Linked DNA regions of Schizosaccharomyces pombe. Changing the gene in region 1 together with any one later gene gives a genetic interaction. Each region holds a gene or a part of one and is shown in the gene's direction. Other genes may lie near its edges.

The links. A genetic interaction does not mean that the proteins touch.
Region 2: mutations in ekc1 (region 1) and ath1 together harm fitness more than expected from each alone (negative genetic interaction), as found in Schizosaccharomyces pombe (one large-scale study listed by BioGRID).

The regions. Positions count from the first base shown.
Region 1 is NC_003421.2:1,627,634-1,631,389, reverse strand, and holds the start of ekc1 (protein phosphatase regulatory subunit Ekc1), read left to right. Parts: upstream 1-2,015; 5' UTR 2,016-2,269; coding exon 2,270-3,756. Other genes in the region: wtf element Wtf14, read right to left, coding at 40-59, 123-185, 226-477, 527-751, 823-952. UniProt on the Schizosaccharomyces pombe protein: Has a role in chromosome segregation. May provide a dynamic connection between kinetochore microtubules and kinetochore chromatin.
Region 2 is NC_003423.3:1,664,960-1,668,715, forward strand, and holds the start of ath1 (ataxin-2-like protein), read left to right. Parts: upstream 1-2,000; 5' UTR 2,001-2,099; coding exon 2,100-3,756. Other genes in the region: SPOM_SPBC21B10.15 (uncharacterized protein), read right to left, coding at 663-790, 904-958. UniProt on the Schizosaccharomyces pombe protein: Involved in post-transcriptional regulation of gene expression, probably by association with mkt1.

The DNA.
Region 1 (3,756 bases):
ACGGATAACATTCTCAGCATTGCATTTGTTCAAAACTCATTAGTTTCTATTTAGGATATCTAGTTTGGTAAGTGAGACGAATTGGAAAATGAACATCGAGATTGATGAATTTAGCAGCATACCCCTAATAGCAAATAAGCAATCACAGTACTTATTAAAAACTCTAGTGAATAAACCAGGATTTTCTTGTAAAGTTAGCATTTATCAGAATTTTGAAGAACGAACCAATTTCAATTATAAAATATGCCACGTTTAGCATAACACCAATGACACGCTCCACCAACGGGCATCCCAGTCTCCATTGCTCAAAATGACTTCTAAAAAACATAAGGAGGGGAATGGCAAATGCATTAACAAAAGTCAACTTGAGAATAGCATATAGCATATTTACTCCCCGTTTTTGGGGAAAAGATCTTATACCTGCTCCGCAAGCGACAATAACTTCCTTGATACTCCTGAACCATGTTTCATATGTTGCTATAGAATTAGCAGCTGCATACTGATAGTAATCACATAGTCCACTTACCGAGTAAAAGCCACATCGAAAATATGTTAATTCCACCATTTCCCAATCCAAATAGCACCCGATCTTTAGTTGAAAAGTTTGCAAACACGAGATATTTAAACAAAGCAATATTTATTACGAAAACAGGAAGAAGTACTGCTGGAATTTTTGTCGACCAAGCCGTACGAGTATCAGCAACCTTAGAAGCTTCCATCACTTTATGATCAGCAGGTCTGGAAGTTTTCACTTTTACGTTAAAATTGCTATCTTTTTGAATATGAAGTTCTTTTTCTTCCCAACGAGGGTATTTTTCTTACCTAAAGACTGAGGTATAGTGGCTTCCTCGACCACAGTGTATTGTGAGACCTGAGTTTCGTGCTCGCCTTTTCCACGTTTAGGATTCAATTCATCCAAAGAATCCTTAGCCAAATGATGATTGTTTTCCATAATGAGCGATAAAAAGAGGTTGATCAAAAAATGCGCCGGTTGATATAACTGCGTAAACAAACAAGCAAGGTCCTTTCAAATTATCGCAATTTCAGATCTTACAAAGTTATACTAAGCAGAGAATTACAAAATTGAAAAATTTCGAATCAATTGCTTAAAACAAAGAATATTCAAAAATAGGAACCAAAAAGCTGATTTAGGAGGTAGATTACTTCTAACATCCGCATTTTAAGAAGACTAGCAGTATTCCTAAGTTACATTATATGCTATAACGAACACTTTGAAGCAATCTTATATCTGGAAATGCGAAAAATAATACAGTCAATTGATCGTCAGTAAATGCATTATCGATACAGATTAGTCCTTGCCATGGATTGACTTCTGCAGTATAGGAGAGTTAAGTTAACTCCTATTTAGGAGCTTTTATAACCGTAAATAAAATACTCTTTTAAAACTTTTAAGCTAAAATTTTTCTTTTGTGAAATTATCTGCTAAGGATATCTACCGATTTACAACGTGATACTTATAGATTTCGCTAACAGAAAACTGGTGAACTACTGTAATGTCAACTTCAGTATATCGAATAATACAGTACGTTCCGTATCGTTATATATCACATGTTCTGTTATCTATCCGCTATCTTATGATACAACATAGCACAAAAAGATTTGCTGATTTTTCCAAAAGAAAGTTTTAGATTAATAAACATACTCTAGATAGAGCCTAGCTGGAATTCGTTAGTACAGTTAAGTATTGAGCTTTTTCAGTGATTAGCTGCCAAACGTCCCCTTTGTATAAGAATATCAGCATTACCTGTTACCCATATTACCTGTGTATCAAAATATAATATGTATCAAGCAACCCCACCACCGTTTACCATATCCCTAAATTTGATTGCAACACGCTATTTCCACGGTATAATTGATTGCGCATTACACTAGAATAGCCAATGTTTTTACATCGCTTCCTAAAGCCGCAGTAAAGAGACAATTGGCTTTCCCCCACCTCTCCATATGGAAGAACGAACTACGTAGGATTCACCATTCACACTTATCTGCCCTTCGCCAACAGCTTAAAACCGCAACTGTCTGTTTTGGAAGTAGTAATAGAGGAAAAACTTCAAAATTGAGACTCTTTGATACTCATATTTAAAACCGCAGACATTGATTATCTATACAGTGAAGGGCACGGCTCAAGAGTACCGCCGTAAAACAAGAACGCAAAAGGGGAAGCCTTTACCTAAGAGCTTCGCCGTTTAAGCCTTGGGAAGTATAAACATAGCTTTGACTTACATACATTTTAAAGGAAGTGATAGAAATGTTTTGGAGATTGGGCCAGGGATTTGGATTTCAAAGCTCAAGCGCCATTGAGGCGATTTTGGATAAACCGGAAGATGAGATTAATTTAAAGGAGTTGTTAGAAGAGAATGGGGTTTTGGACGAATGTAAAAGCCACAACCCCAAACTTTTAGAATACCTTTGCAAGCCGGAAGTACTTAGCCAGCTGATTGATTATATTTTGGAGGTTGACGAAACAGAGATACCTTCTGCCGATGGTGGTTATGAAGAGCCGGAACATACCAGACTTTCCTACATAGCGAGTGAAATCCTCAGTAGCGACGTTTGGTCCATCTGTGAGGCTTGTGTGGAAAATAAGACATTGATGGTGAAACTTTGGTCCTTTTTGGATAGCGAGGGCCCATTAAACCCATTGCAAGCATCATACTTTGCAAAGGTCAATGAACATTTTCTGGATAAAAAAACCGAAGAAACGGTTGCCTTTATCCAATCTATTGATAACTTTGTAGAAAAGATCCTCCGTCATGCGGAAACAAGCGCAATCATGGATCTGTTGCTCAAATTCATTTCAATGGATCGTTGCAATACTGCTATTGGAATTGCTGACTGGTTGTATTCGCAGGGATTAATACAATCCTTACTGCGTCTACTTAGCCCATATGTGGATCCCGACGTCCAGTTTACTGTTGCTGATGTTATAAAAGCAATTATCGCTATTTCTGCCAATTCTAATGAACCCGGAGTTATTGGACCTAACTCCCTTTCACGAGAACTAGTATCCAGACAAACAATAACTACACTAACTGATTACATGACCGATTCTAAAGCTCCTCACTCTGCCACTTCTCTTATTAATGGCGTCAGCATCGTAATAGAACTAATTCGTAAGAACAACAGTGACTACGATGTTACACCCGTTTTGCAAATGCCTCTTGACACGCATCCTCCTACTACCCGTGATCCTATTTACCTTGGGACCATGTTGCGTCTTTTCGCCGAAAAAATTCCTGTCTTTCAAAAAATCCTCCTTAAACCTTCCACCGAGTCCGACCTCATGCCCACCAGTTTTGGTAAGATCAAGCCTTTAGGTTTTGAACGTTTCCGAATTTGTGAACTTTACGCCGAGTTGCTTCATTGTAGTAATATGTCCCTTCTTAGCGATCCTAATGGTGAAGCCATGGTAATGCAGCGTGACCATCTTCGTGATTATCTTTTCCGCCATAATAGCTGTGCACGTGATCTTGTCATGAGCGACGAGGACGATGATGATTCTACTTTTTCCGATAAAAATTCTAAAGATTTTAAGGAAACTGAAGACATGAACGGGGCTGAAGATATGCACGGTCGTGCTCCGCAAATCACTAAGGATAACCTTAATTTGACTACTACTGATTCCCCAATGTCCGAGGCTGAACCCGTTAGTGAAGAAGAATACAAGGACGTTATGGAAACCGCTAAAGCACTACACCATGGGGACGATGATGCGGCTTCTGATACTTCTTACGA
Region 2 (3,756 bases), on another chromosome or scaffold:
GTCCATTTTTTGGAGATTTTTTCGCGATATTTCAGCCTTATCGTCTGAGCATAACTTCACAAATATGAAAATGAGGATTCCTTACTCTCCATTCCAAGTTTTTAAGCTTAGTGTTTGATAGGCTTAAGTTCTTTTAAACATATATTTTAGATTATCAATTTATTTAGTTTCCTCGTAACATGTAAAGTTTTTACATTATCTGACAATCTTTATTGAAGGCTGCAAAGATGAAAGGCCCTGGAAACGTTATGACACTGAATTGAAAGATTATTTTTTTAATGCCTGGAAAGTGATTTTTTTTTTCAGTAGGTCGTTACGGAACCCCCCTTATCATTTATCTGTTGTTTCCTTACATTTGTTTTGCTTCCTTGAGCGTCGCTTGTTAACGCAGGAGGAGAGAAATACTAGTTTATTATTTATAACTTATTCTACATATTGTTGGATTAATATGTCTCGCTTTGTTATATAATGGCTCCGGTTTAAGGCTTTATTTTATTTTATTTTATTTTAATTTTTAATTACTCAGCGTTTTTATTATATAGTGTTATTTTTGGGATTGCCGGAATTACTACATGGACTAGGAGGTTATTTTATTTAATATCTTTGCATCGCTGTCTGTGGACAGCTTTGACATTGGCGTCGAAATTATAGTAAATATTTCATTATTTGTTTTCTTTTGAAGATTTTGCATTTTCAAGCTGTTTCGCCTGTTCTTGCTTATACAATTTAAAGTACTCTCTTTTTTTATTATTTAAATCGTTTTTAAGCACTAGAAATGATATAGGGCCGACTGCGTGAGTTAGTGAAAAAAGCAATTATAGACAAAAATATATATATTAATTTATTCTCTTAAAGAACTTTGAAACCTGAATTACTTCAGTTTTATAGTATCAATAAACATACCAGTAATGAATATTCCAAAAAATGTGAGTAGTTGTCCTTTTAAGCTCATACCCATCGTGAAAAATTAAATTGTAGGATTCAAATACTGAAAGGTTATAATGCTTGCAATAAAATAGCTTTGAAAGGACGAAACCAAAACTTTCGACGTTTAATTGGGTTATTTGCTCACGAAGCCGGTTCAAGTGATATCTTCTTTTTGCAGCCCGATGTTAACTTCTGAAGTGTTAATAGTTAATGGTCACTAAGGTATCGTTATAATATGAAACAAAAACTGCAGTGTCTTGGAAAGAGAGTGGTTTAAAGGGGCTATAGAATTCTGATAGAACAAATTCAGAAGTTTAAACAAATATTGGTGTAAATGGGATTTTTAACTTATAAAATCTCGTAGTGTCCTTGGTTGTCTATTTTGACGTAAAATATGTGCCAGTTTTCAAGCCTTTTATTCTTAGTATACTAATCATTTGCAAATGAAAAGTGTTTTTTGTAAAGCATGTAAGCCGATAACCCTTGATTAAGGCCAATCTAAACTTTCCAAGCTACAAAGAATAAGTTTTTTTTGCGGTTGTAGGTTGCTTTTGAATCAATTAATGTCTAAAGTTTACTCAATTAAGAATTGCCTGTTCACTTTAACGGAATTTCCGTATTATGTATTGACCTTTGTCTTATTGTATTGTAGAATAAGTCATCCAGACATAGTACATGAATTGTAAAGCCATACATTGCTACATAAACTACAGCTTAATTCAAAAAATTGCATCTGTTATCGTAAAAAAAGCAAATAAAGCGTTTTGAATCAGTAAATTATCAACAGTACAATTGCTAATTTATCAATACATTCTGCGAAGAAAATAGAGTATGACCGCATTTGCCACCTGCAGCCTTTGGGTGGTTAGTGCTCTGCAAAGTAACTGAATCTATATGAAAAAAAAAGGTACGAACCTGAAAATATATTATGCTACGACTTTGAAATTTAAAATTAAAAAAATTCAATTATTAGGAATGGTAGCATTCATTTGATTTCCTCTATGGTGTAAGCCTGGTGTCATGCGCCATTCGCCCAGTTACCTAAAGGTTACACTTCACTTTTAGTTGCTTCTACCTCCAACCTCCACGGAATTACTCAAATTTCAGTTGGGCACTGGGAGGTTGCAAATCGAGAAATTGCAAGAGTATCTGAGGACACTCAAGTAATTCTGATGGCAACCCGTTCTGTCAGCATGAAACAGACCTCGCAACGCGCTGCCAGCCCTAATAAAACTCAGGGTGCCAAAAAATGGTCAGCAGTTGCTGCTAGAGGAAGCAAAATTGCTCAGTCTGCTACGAATGATCATCGTAATGTAGAATCTATTAAAGTAGTACCTGAAAATAGAGTCAGAGGGGGAGTTGCTGCTAAAGCCACCGACTCATCTTCCAACGTTACCTCGTTGGCCTCTTCCGAGGAAAATGTTTCGAGTGTTTCTGGTTCTGCGAAATCAAATAATTCTCAGCAAAGAGTTTGGAAAACAGATGTAGCTATTTCAGCAGAAAAGCGCACTGAAACTCGTCAACGAGAACTCCGTCGCTGGATGCCAGATCCGGAAGATGCAGGTGTTCCTCTAGCTGGTTTAGAGGAGTCTACTGATAATGTTGAATGGGATCAATTTGCTACAAATGAAAAACTTTTCGGTGTGAAATCTCATTTTGATGAAGATTTGTATACTTCTCGTATCGATCGAAGTCATCCAAAATACAAAGAGAAAGAGCAAGAAGCTGATCGTATAGCGAAAGAAATTGAAGGTACCGTAACCAACAACATTCATATTGCTGAAGAGCGTGGTCTTAAAGTTGATGATAGTGGACTTGATGAAGAGGACCTTTATTCTGGCGTTCATCGTTCTATCGATGTTGTTAGGAACTACACCCGCAGTAATGCGTACAACAAGAACAACAAAGATCAAAAACCTAAGAACCATGAAGCCCCTCATCAACATCCACAGCAGAAAGTAGTTCCTCCTGATGATCCAGCAATTGTGTCTCACCGTCACCTTGCTTTGCCTCGCGCACCTGGTCCAGATTCTCGAGCAGCTGAAAGGTTTTTCAACGCCCGCCGTAAGGCTGGTCCTCTCTCCAGACGTGAAAAGGAAGGACAGATTAAAGAGTTTATGCAGTTTAGCCAATCTTTAAAAATAGGTTCGCTGGATTCCAAACAACCTTCTTCTACGAAATCTGTTGCTGAAGTTAAAGTGGCTGATGAAAAACAGCTTCCTGATGCTTCCAGCCAGGCAACTCCGGCGGATTCGAAAGAACCACGAAAGGAGGAAGCTGAAAAACCAGTTACATCTGCTACGGAGGTGTCTTCCGAAAAGGTTGAAAAGGTTGATGGAAATACATCTTCTCCTTCAAAAGAAGAGGAAAAACCATCAACTGAACCCGAAAAGCCCTCTGTTGTTACACAGAGAAAGGAAACCACAGGTACAAAGCTGGGCACGAAGTTGAATGCTAAGGCTATATCTTTTAAGCCGAATGTAGCTGCTCCTGTGTTTACACCTGGTAAATTTACTATCCCCAGTAAACCCGCACCTGTTAATGCTTCACGTCCGATGATGCCTCAGCAGTCCAACAACAGTGAAGCTTCGATTCCTTCAACCACACCACAATCACCTTCAGTGGTTTCCAATGGTGAAAACAAACCTTCTTCCTCTCCTGTTTTCTTCAACGGTCCTGTTTCATCGGAGAAGGAACCCATCTTAGATAACTTTAATGTTTTTAAAAACGTTGGAGAAGAACACCAAGGAGCGGAGCAGATTGATAAGCCTTTTTCATGTCCCCCGACTTGGAACACGGGACCCAACTCCCTACAGCAAACCATTGCAA